Rattus norvegicus: one gene and its partner. The protein of the gene in region 1 interacts with the protein of each later gene in a biochemical or structural test. Links are inferred from orthologs where the notes say so. Each region holds a gene or a part of one and is shown on either strand. Other genes may lie near its edges. The genes, in order: Rnf181 and Itga2b.

Region 1 (4,404 bases):
CCGGCACCCATATGGCAGCTCACAGCTGTTTTTAACTCTAATTCCAAAGGATCTGACACCCTCACACAGCCACACATGCAGGTAAAAAAAACACCAACAAGCATAAAGCAAAAGTAAGTTCAGCAAACAAACAAACATGAAGTTTAAAAAAAAAAGGGCATATTGATCTTTGGAGGATCCAAGTTTGCAAGTTCAATTCCCATCTCTCAGGTCAGGCACTTCATAACCACCTGTAAGTCCAGCTTCAGGGAGATCATCCTCTATGGGCACCTGCACTTAACACACACACACACACACACACACACACACACACACACACACACACACACACACACACACGGTCTATAAAGTAAAACATTTAAGAAAAGCAAGAAACGGGGTTGGGGATTTAGCTCAGTGGTAGAGCGCTTGCCTAACAAGAGCAAGGCCCTGGGTTCGGTCCTCAACTCCGAAAAAAAGAAAAAAAAAAAAAAAAAGCAAGAAACATGTCAGAGAGATAATCCCATGAAGTGTTTGCCTTGTAAGCACAAGGACTGGCATTAATCCCATCTTTAAAAGTCAGGTGTGTGGACCAATGTGATAGCAATAACTTTTGATTCAAGCACTGGCAAAGTGGAGACAAGCAGATCTCTGTTAGATTGAGGCTAGCCTGGTCTACGTAGTGACCCTTTCTCAAAAACACATCAACAAGCAAAACCCCCCAATGTGGTGGTCTTCTTCTTCTGGTGTGGTACTTCCAGAATTGGGAAGGCAGAGAGAGGCAGATTTCCTGGGGTCACTAGCCACCAGCATAGGCGAGCTCTAGTCCAAGAAGAGATGTCTCCAAAACAAAACAAACAAACAAAAAAGTGAGCTGGAAGTAAAGCCTGTGGTGTCACAGGTGGGCTGGTATGCTGATGCATGCCACGAATCCCAGAACTTAGGAGGCAGAGGCAAGTGGATTTCTCTGAGTTTGAGGCTAGCCTCAGCTACATAGTGAGAAGCTGTCTTAAGAAAAGAAAAAAAGAAAAGAAAAGAAAACGAGGGGTGGGGTGGAGAACAGAAGAGAAAACAGACAATTCCTGAGTGAACAACAACTGAGGTGGATCTCTGGCCTCCAAACATAGATGCACACACATACATGGATATGAGTACATGAGTACACATATATACATGAGACAAACATGACAAGGGAAGGGCTTTTTGCCTGGCATTTCTTTCTTCCTAATTTCTTAATCTTTGTCTTATTCTTTTTTTTTTCTTTGTCTTATTCTTAGTTGAACGTTACATATCCCCACATTACACCCAAAAGCCTTCAGTGCTTCCATGGTGCTATAAACAGAGTCATAAAGGAAAGAATTAAAGGATTCCAGTGTTCCAAGTTACACAGGACAAGGCCAATGCCTTCAAGGTCATAGGAAGGATCACTCATGGGCTGGCACGATGGTTTGGCAGGTAAAGGTGCTTGTTGCTAACGATTACTGGTTGGGGCTCTGTATGTGTGTGTTGCCAATTTGACAGAAGCTAGAGTCATCTGGGAAGAGGGAACTTGGATTGAGAAGATGTCTTGATCAAATCATCCCGTAGGCTATCAGTGTAGCGTTGTCTTGATTGATGACTGATGTGGAAGAGCCCGGCCTACCATAGATGTTGCCACCCTGGACAGGTGATCCCAGGTTATATAAAAACCAAGCTGAGTAATCCATGGAAAGAAGCAAGCTTTCTATGCCCTCTGTTCCCTCCTACAGGTTCCTGCCCTGACTTCCCTCAGTGATGAACTGTGACCTGGAAGTCATAAGATGAAATGAGCCCTTTCCTCCCTCAAGTTGCCTTGGGCACAGTGTTTATCACACCAAGAGAAACCTACCTAGGACACCACACCTGATGAGCTGAGTTTGATTCCTGGGACCCACATGGTGGAAGGAGGGAACTGATTTCCAAACTTGTCCTCTGACCTTCACATGAGTGTTGATGAGTGTTTTGGCATGCATGCACGCACACACACACACACACACACACACACACACACACACATTTAAAAAAAAAGCACTGCTTAAAAAATAAAACAATTGTTTATTGGGCTAAGAAAGACAGAAGGCCTGCAAGACGTATTTGAGTTACTTTTCTTTCTTTCTTTCTTCCTTTCTCTCTTTCTTTCTTTCTCTCTTTCTTTCTCTCTTTCTCTCTTTCTTCCTTCCTTTCTTTCTTTTTAAAATTTATTTTATGTATATGAGTACACTGTAACTGTCTTCAGACACACCAGAAGAGGACATCAGACCTCATTACAGATTGTTGTGAGCCACCATGTGGTTGCTGGGAATTGAACTAAGGGTCTTTGGAAGAGCAGTTGGTGCTTTTAACCACTGAGCCATCTCTCCAGCCCCTCTGTCCCCTTTTTGTGAGACACTGTCTCACTCTGAAGCTCTGGCTGTCCTGGAACTCACACTATAGACGAGGCTGGCCTTGAACTCACAGAGACATGCCTGTCTCTGCCTTCCTGAGTGCTGGAATTAAAGGTGTGTGCCCCTATACTAGGCTTATTTGGGTGACTTCATTGCAGCTCAAACAAGTGTGAAGGGCAAGGGAAATTCAATGTCAAGTGTATAAAATAAGTAGGGCTTGCTAGGTGAGGGAGGGTTACCATGAAAAGCAAGAAAGGAGACTGAGAATTGTTCAGAGCTTAACCCCTTATAAGGATTAAATGTCTCACGGTCTTTAGAAAACTTTTAATATTTTAAAAATATTATAAAATGTTGAGTCTCTTTAAAATATCCAAAGTCTTTCACTGCCAAATCAAAATAAGTTACATACTTTCTTTCTCATGGCTTTATAAGTTCATACTTAGAGGGAAGAGCCAGGAAAACATAATGACGATTAAATCAGAACCCACATTTGACACCGTCTAAAGTCCAGTGCTTGATGTCTGGGACCCACCCACAATCACCTGGGTTCCAAAGGGCCTGTGAAACTTGGGTTCTGCAATCCACAGTCCACATAGCTCATCTCTCAGGCTCAGGCTGACTTCAGTACACAGCTGCTGCCGCCCTGGGCAGTCATCCAAGCCCTGGCATCTCCAATACTACGGGATCTCCACCTATGATCTTAACCAATGACCTCTCGGCCTCCCTTCAGGGACTCTGATCTTGTCACATGGATCTAAGCCTCAGCCACTCTCCAAGACTCCTTCAGTCTTCAGAACCAGCTCCATTTGGGTGATCTTTCCACATTCCCAAGTTTGGCTGCCACCATGAGTTGCACGCTCATGGGGACATAGCTTTTATGTGCTAACTCCAAGGAAATACTCCCAATTTCACTTCACTAATGCCTGTCTCTTCTTAATCACTGCTGATTTCTCAGCTCTAGCTAACCAGCATGGGTTGTTCTAGGAGAGCTAAGGGTTCACTTTTTAATGGTGCTGGCCTTTTCACAACCATGGTTGATTCTTTAGCCTCAGCTGCCCAGAGCCACAAGTTCCCACAACAGTTCATTAAGATCCAAGCACTTGGGCTGAAGAGATGGTTTGGCAGTTAAGAGCACTGACTGCTCTTCCAGAGGTCTTGAGTTCAATTCCCAGCAACCACATGGTGGCTCACACCCATCTGTAATGGGATCAGACACCCTCTCCTGGTGTGCCTGAAGACAGCAAGATCTAAGCCCTTGAACAACTTCCCCAGCTCATTTCCAACATCCTCCCCAACTTCCTAAGAATGATATGTTCATGTCTGTTGCAACAATACTCCAGTCCTGGTACTAACGTCTGTCTAGTTTTCCTTTCTGTTTGGTGTGATAAAACACCATGACCAAAAGCAACGTGTGGAGGAAAGGGTTTATTTCATCTTTTTTTTTTTTTTTTTTTTTTTTTTTTTTTTTTTTTTCGGAGCTGGGGACCGAACCCAGGGCCTTGCGCTTGCTAGGCAAGCACTCTACCACTGAGCTAAATCCCCAACCCGGTTTATTTCATCTTATAATTGTACTCCATCATGAAGGTAAGTCAGGGCAGAAAGTCATGGCAGGAACACAAGGCAGGAGCTGCAGCAGAGGCCATGGAAGAACACTTCTCACTGGCTCTCTCAACCTGCTTTCTTCTATACCCCAGGACCTCCCCTGGGGTGTCCCTGCCCACAGTGAGCTGGGCCCTTCCATATCAGTCATTAATCAAGAAAATGACTAGGCCAATGGAATGAAGGCATTGTCTCAGTTAAAGGTCCTTCTTCCCAGATGACAAAAAGATAACAAACATACAGGGTTTATTACTTTTTTTTTTTGTTAGAGGCAGTGTCTCCCTAAAAGCCCAAGTGGTCTCTTAATTCTGAGACTATGGGTGCTAAGACTTTGTTACTGTCTCTGAGTTTATTATCATCTTCCTCTTCTGGGGAAAAATGGAGGATAGCACTTTGTCAGCAACACTCACTTTGGGCAAGCTAC
Region 2 (4,344 bases), on another chromosome or scaffold:
AACAAATCCAAGGAGCTTTTTGCTTAATGAGGGGCAACATCTTCAGCTGTGTGAGAGGAAGGGAGGAGTCGGGAGTTGTTCAAAGTTGGTAGGGCGGGAAAGTGGGGTAAGGCAGTGGTTAATCAGAAATAAGGGTGGAGCTTGGGGGGCATGGCTGGGTGATAGAGCACTTGTCCTGCGTTGATGAGGCTATCCCAGCACTGCAGAAAAGGAGAAAAAAAAATACAGACTATATGTGGCTGTATTCCTACATCCCTTTGCTTTGGGGCAAAAGGCGTGCAAGGCCAACAGGGCATGGAGCTCTGTTCCCCTTCCCCCCCCCCCCATATAGAAGGGGATTCTGTGGCCCTCACCCCTTTGTGGCCCTGAGAATCTGACCCCTCTCCCTTTGCTCCTTCCACCCTTGAGGAAGACCAGTCAACCTTTCAGCAGCAACTCATGCCAGGCTGTGAGCTAGGCCCCGGGACAACAGAAAGGACCCTTGCTCTCAAAGGATTCAGGTACTCAATTCAGTAAAAAAGTGTCATCAGGTACTGTGCCTGTGTGTGTGTATATGCCAAGGACTGAGGACTCAGGAGCTTTCTCCTAGACAATCTCAGAACGATGTCATCTCATCCCACTTAGGCCACGGCCATTCACTGCCAATATTGAAGGTGCCAGTGTAAACGCACCAAGACCTGGTTAAGATGGAGATGTGAGGAAACCAATGGCCAAGTGGGGCTGCCTGAGGCTGCCAAAGGCTTGCAGAGGAGGAAGCCGATAAATGTCCTACTCAAAATGATGACAACCTCGGGTTTTATCAGGGGAGAGCAGCTTCCTTTACCCCTTCCTCTCCCTCTAGCCAAGTCACAGTGTTCAGTGGTCAGCTACATGGGGGAGACAAGGACAGTACAACCGTGGGCCGTGGTGAAGTAAGACAGAGCTGTGAATTCATGTTTACACTTTCCCGGGCGGAAAGAGATGGTGGCCTGACTTTCACAGTGACAGAGGAGGAGAAAGGGGATTTCTGGGCCTGTGGCTGAGAAACTGAAACTACAGGACTTGGAGAGGAGCTTTTCTGGAGAGAAGGGAGAAGCAATGACTTCCGGTCATCAGCACCTATCCCCGGGACAGACCCTCCCTTTCCTAGTAGTCCTAGAGACCGTGTGGTCCAGAGGCTATTCCCCTCTGCCATGCCTGCTGCTAAGCCATGAGCTCCAGTCTGATAAGCCGAAACTTCCGGTGGTGGGGACTTGAGGGAAGGGGAAGAGCTTGACCATTCCTGCTTAGGACATTTGGGGAGAAGGAAGATGGCCAGAGCTTCATGTGCGTGGAATACCCTGTGGCTTCTGCAGTGGACACCACTGTTCCTGGGACCAAGTGCTGCTCCTCCTGCCTGGGCCTTGAACCTGGACTCTGTGAAGTTCTCTGTCTATACAGGCCCCAATGGCAGCCACTTTGGCTTCTCAGTGGACTTTCATAAGGACAGCCATGGGAGGTGAGCACTAAAGGAGAGAGGTCTGCCCCTTAGCAGTGCTCCTGTGGCTTCTTAGCGCCTAGTTGAGCAAGGTTGACTCTAGGGTCTGTTTGAGTGGTGCTCCTGTCAGGAATGCTGGGGGCGGGGGCGCAGGTTCCAGGGAGGGCACTGTGGAGGGATAGCAACAGGGAGCACTGAGCAAACAAAGGTAAAAATGTCTTTTTCTTTTCCCCCAAGCGTCAATGATGTGACTCGCTTTACCTCCCTCCCCTCACTCTAAATTGACTGACTGGCAAAGCTACAAGTGCCTACCGGGTACACCTTGCTTTCCTCCATTCCTCACCTCATCTCCTTCCAAATTACAGATGTTTGAAAAGAAGTAATAAATTACTAACAGTCAGTATGGATCAGGCTTTGAGGTCAAACTGCTAAGATTAGAGTCCTGGCTTATCCACGTAGCTGTGTTTATCCTGAGTGACTTATTGAAATGGACACTGGAATGCCCAGGTCTGGGGAACAGTAATGACCATTCTCAAAGGCAGCAGCAAGAAATTATTTCTTCTGCCTGAGAGAGCCACTTCATCAAAAATCAGGTTCCCCTTCCCAAGATGACTTGCATCCAGAGACTCTCCATGAGGGGGAAGGAACCTAGGGTTGCCTCAGTTCTGATGATTATAAAGGGTGCTTCTCTAGCTGACCGTGGTAGCACATGCTAGTAAACCCAGTACTTGGAAGCTGAGGCAGGAGAACTACCACAAGTTAAATAGCCAGGGCCACATAACAAGATTCTGTCGGAATGAATAAATAGAACTCCTGAGCATGGTGCCATGCCAAACACCTTTCATCTCCTTTAATGGAAACAGAGGTAGGCAGTGCCCTGTGAGTTCGAGGTCAGCCTGCTAGTCTAAATAGTGAGTTCCAGGACAGCCAGAGCTACACACACACACACACACACACACACACACACACACACACACACAAAGAGAGAGAGAGAGAGAGAGAGAGAGAGAGAGAGAGAGAGAGAGAGAGCGCCTGTCTCAAAACAAATAAACAAAGCCAACCAAAGAAAATCCTCCTGGCTTCAGAGCTCCTGAGTGTTTCAATACAACTCCTGTCGTTTCTTCCTCTGTCTCCTGTTTCTTCCCTGAAGGTCTGATCACGCGGACACAATTTTTTTTTTCCGGAGCTGGGGACCGAACCCAGGGCCTTGCGCTTGCTAGGCAAGCGCTCTACCGCTGAGCTAAATCCCCAACCCCACGGGGACACAATTTAATAAGCATCCTGTGTGTTTATTAACATGCACACTCTTACAAAAGCATGTTGCTGGGGCATACTAAATACCTCTCATCCGTTTATTGTATTAACTCTTCCAACAGCATAATTGGTTGCTATTACCTCCGTTTTACCTATGGCAGACCTGGTTTAAACAGAGACTGCTAGGATCCTCAACCCTGTCAGCACCACACATCCCAGTTCGCTCTCACCAACCTCCGCCCTTCCAACCAGTTCTCACTAGGTCCTCTCTAGAAGTTTGACAGGCAGAAATTTTGTCTGGTTCTTGTTGGGAGGGAGTAGGGGGCAGGAAATCAGTGTACAAAGTATAAGAGGTCTTTTCAATAAGGATTATTAAAACGTTCCCTTCCAAACCGAACCAACTGGTTTAGTCTCAAGTTAATTTCCTAAGAGTCCACTTTCAGCTGAAGTGAAGAGGTCGGCCTCAATAGGTTATCTGTGAGGAAAGATGGTCCACTTTTTCCTATGCCACACCTCCTTCTAGGTACTGCTGGGGTAGTGGGCACTGGGCAGGATAGAAATGCTATAATCGGGGCTGGGGATTTAGCTCAGTGGTTAGAGTGCTTACCTAGGAAGCGCAAGGCCCTGGGTTCGGTCCCCAGCTCCGAAAAAAAGAACCAAAAAAAAAAAAAAAAAAAAAAAAAGAAATGCTATAATCTACTCACCCAGCTTTCCTAACAGCGTGTCCATCGTGGTGGGCGCCCCCAGGGCCCTAAACGCAAATCAAGAGGAGACTGGAGGTGTGTTCCTGTGCCCCTGGAAGGCCAATAACGGCACATGTACCTCGTTGCTTTTCGACCTCAGTGAGTCTCAACCATGGAGGGGAAAGGGGGAGTCAGGTGGAAATGGATGGCCGGGCTCCTGAGCGCCACCTTTTCTTGTGCCCTCCAGGGGATGAGACGCGAAAACTAAGCTTGCAAACTTTCCAAACCTTCAAGACCGGGCAAGGACTTGGGGCATCGGTCCTCAGCTGGAATGACGTCATTGTGGTGGGCACTGTGGACAGGTCAAAGGGAGCAAGTCCAGGGCAGGGACACGTTGGGGGAAGCCCGAATAAGCTCCCTTCCCCACTCTCCTGTGGATCTGCTCTAGGCCTGTGCCCCCTGGCAGCACTGGAATGTCCTAGAAAAGTACGATGAGGCAGAGAAGACTCCGGTAGGAGGCTGCTTCGTGGCTGAGCTCCAAAGCGGGGGCCGCGCAGAATACTCGCCCTGTCGCTCCAACACCATGAGCTCCGTTTACTCACAGGGTTTTAGTAAGCGCTGGTCCGCCATTGGCTCCGCCCACTAGTCGCTGCAAGCCCCGCCCACCACCAAACCTCGCGTCCTGGGAGCCACGCCCTCCTCTATACCACGCCCCCTCGGCCCCTCCTCTATGCTCTCCCCGCCCCGCATAGTTCCGCCTGCCCGCGCGAGACTCTTGGCTTAAACTCTAGTTCAGGGAGCCTCCCCTTGGCTGATCCCACTTGCCTCTTGTAGGCGGAGACAAGCGATACTGTGAAGCAGGCTTCAGCTTGGCGGTGACCCAGGCAAGTCACAGGCAAAAGCAAACAAGAGAACTCAGCTTGGTGGTTGAGGCAGGGGGAATCTCGAGTT

The links.
Region 2: the proteins of Rnf181 (region 1) and Itga2b form a complex in vitro, tested with the Homo sapiens proteins (2 studies listed by BioGRID). The link is inferred for Rattus norvegicus from reciprocal best matches to the Homo sapiens genes RNF181 and ITGA2B.

Annotation. Positions count from the first base shown.
Region 1 is NC_086022.1:105,976,477-105,980,880, reverse strand, and holds the start of Rnf181 (E3 ubiquitin-protein ligase RNF181), read left to right. Parts: upstream 1-1,380; 5' UTR 1,381-1,434; intron 1,435-4,404.
Region 2 is NC_086028.1:87,922,747-87,927,090, reverse strand, and holds the start of Itga2b (integrin alpha-IIb precursor), read left to right. Parts: upstream 1-1,257; 5' UTR 1,258-1,289; coding exon 1,290-1,477; intron 1,478-3,430; coding exon 3,431-3,552; intron 3,553-3,640; coding exon 3,641-3,738; intron 3,739-3,841; coding exon 3,842-4,004; intron 4,005-4,227; coding exon 4,228-4,277; intron 4,278-4,344. UniProt on the Homo sapiens protein: Integrin alpha-IIb/beta-3 is a receptor for fibronectin, fibrinogen, plasminogen, prothrombin, thrombospondin and vitronectin. It recognizes the sequence R-G-D in a wide array of ligands.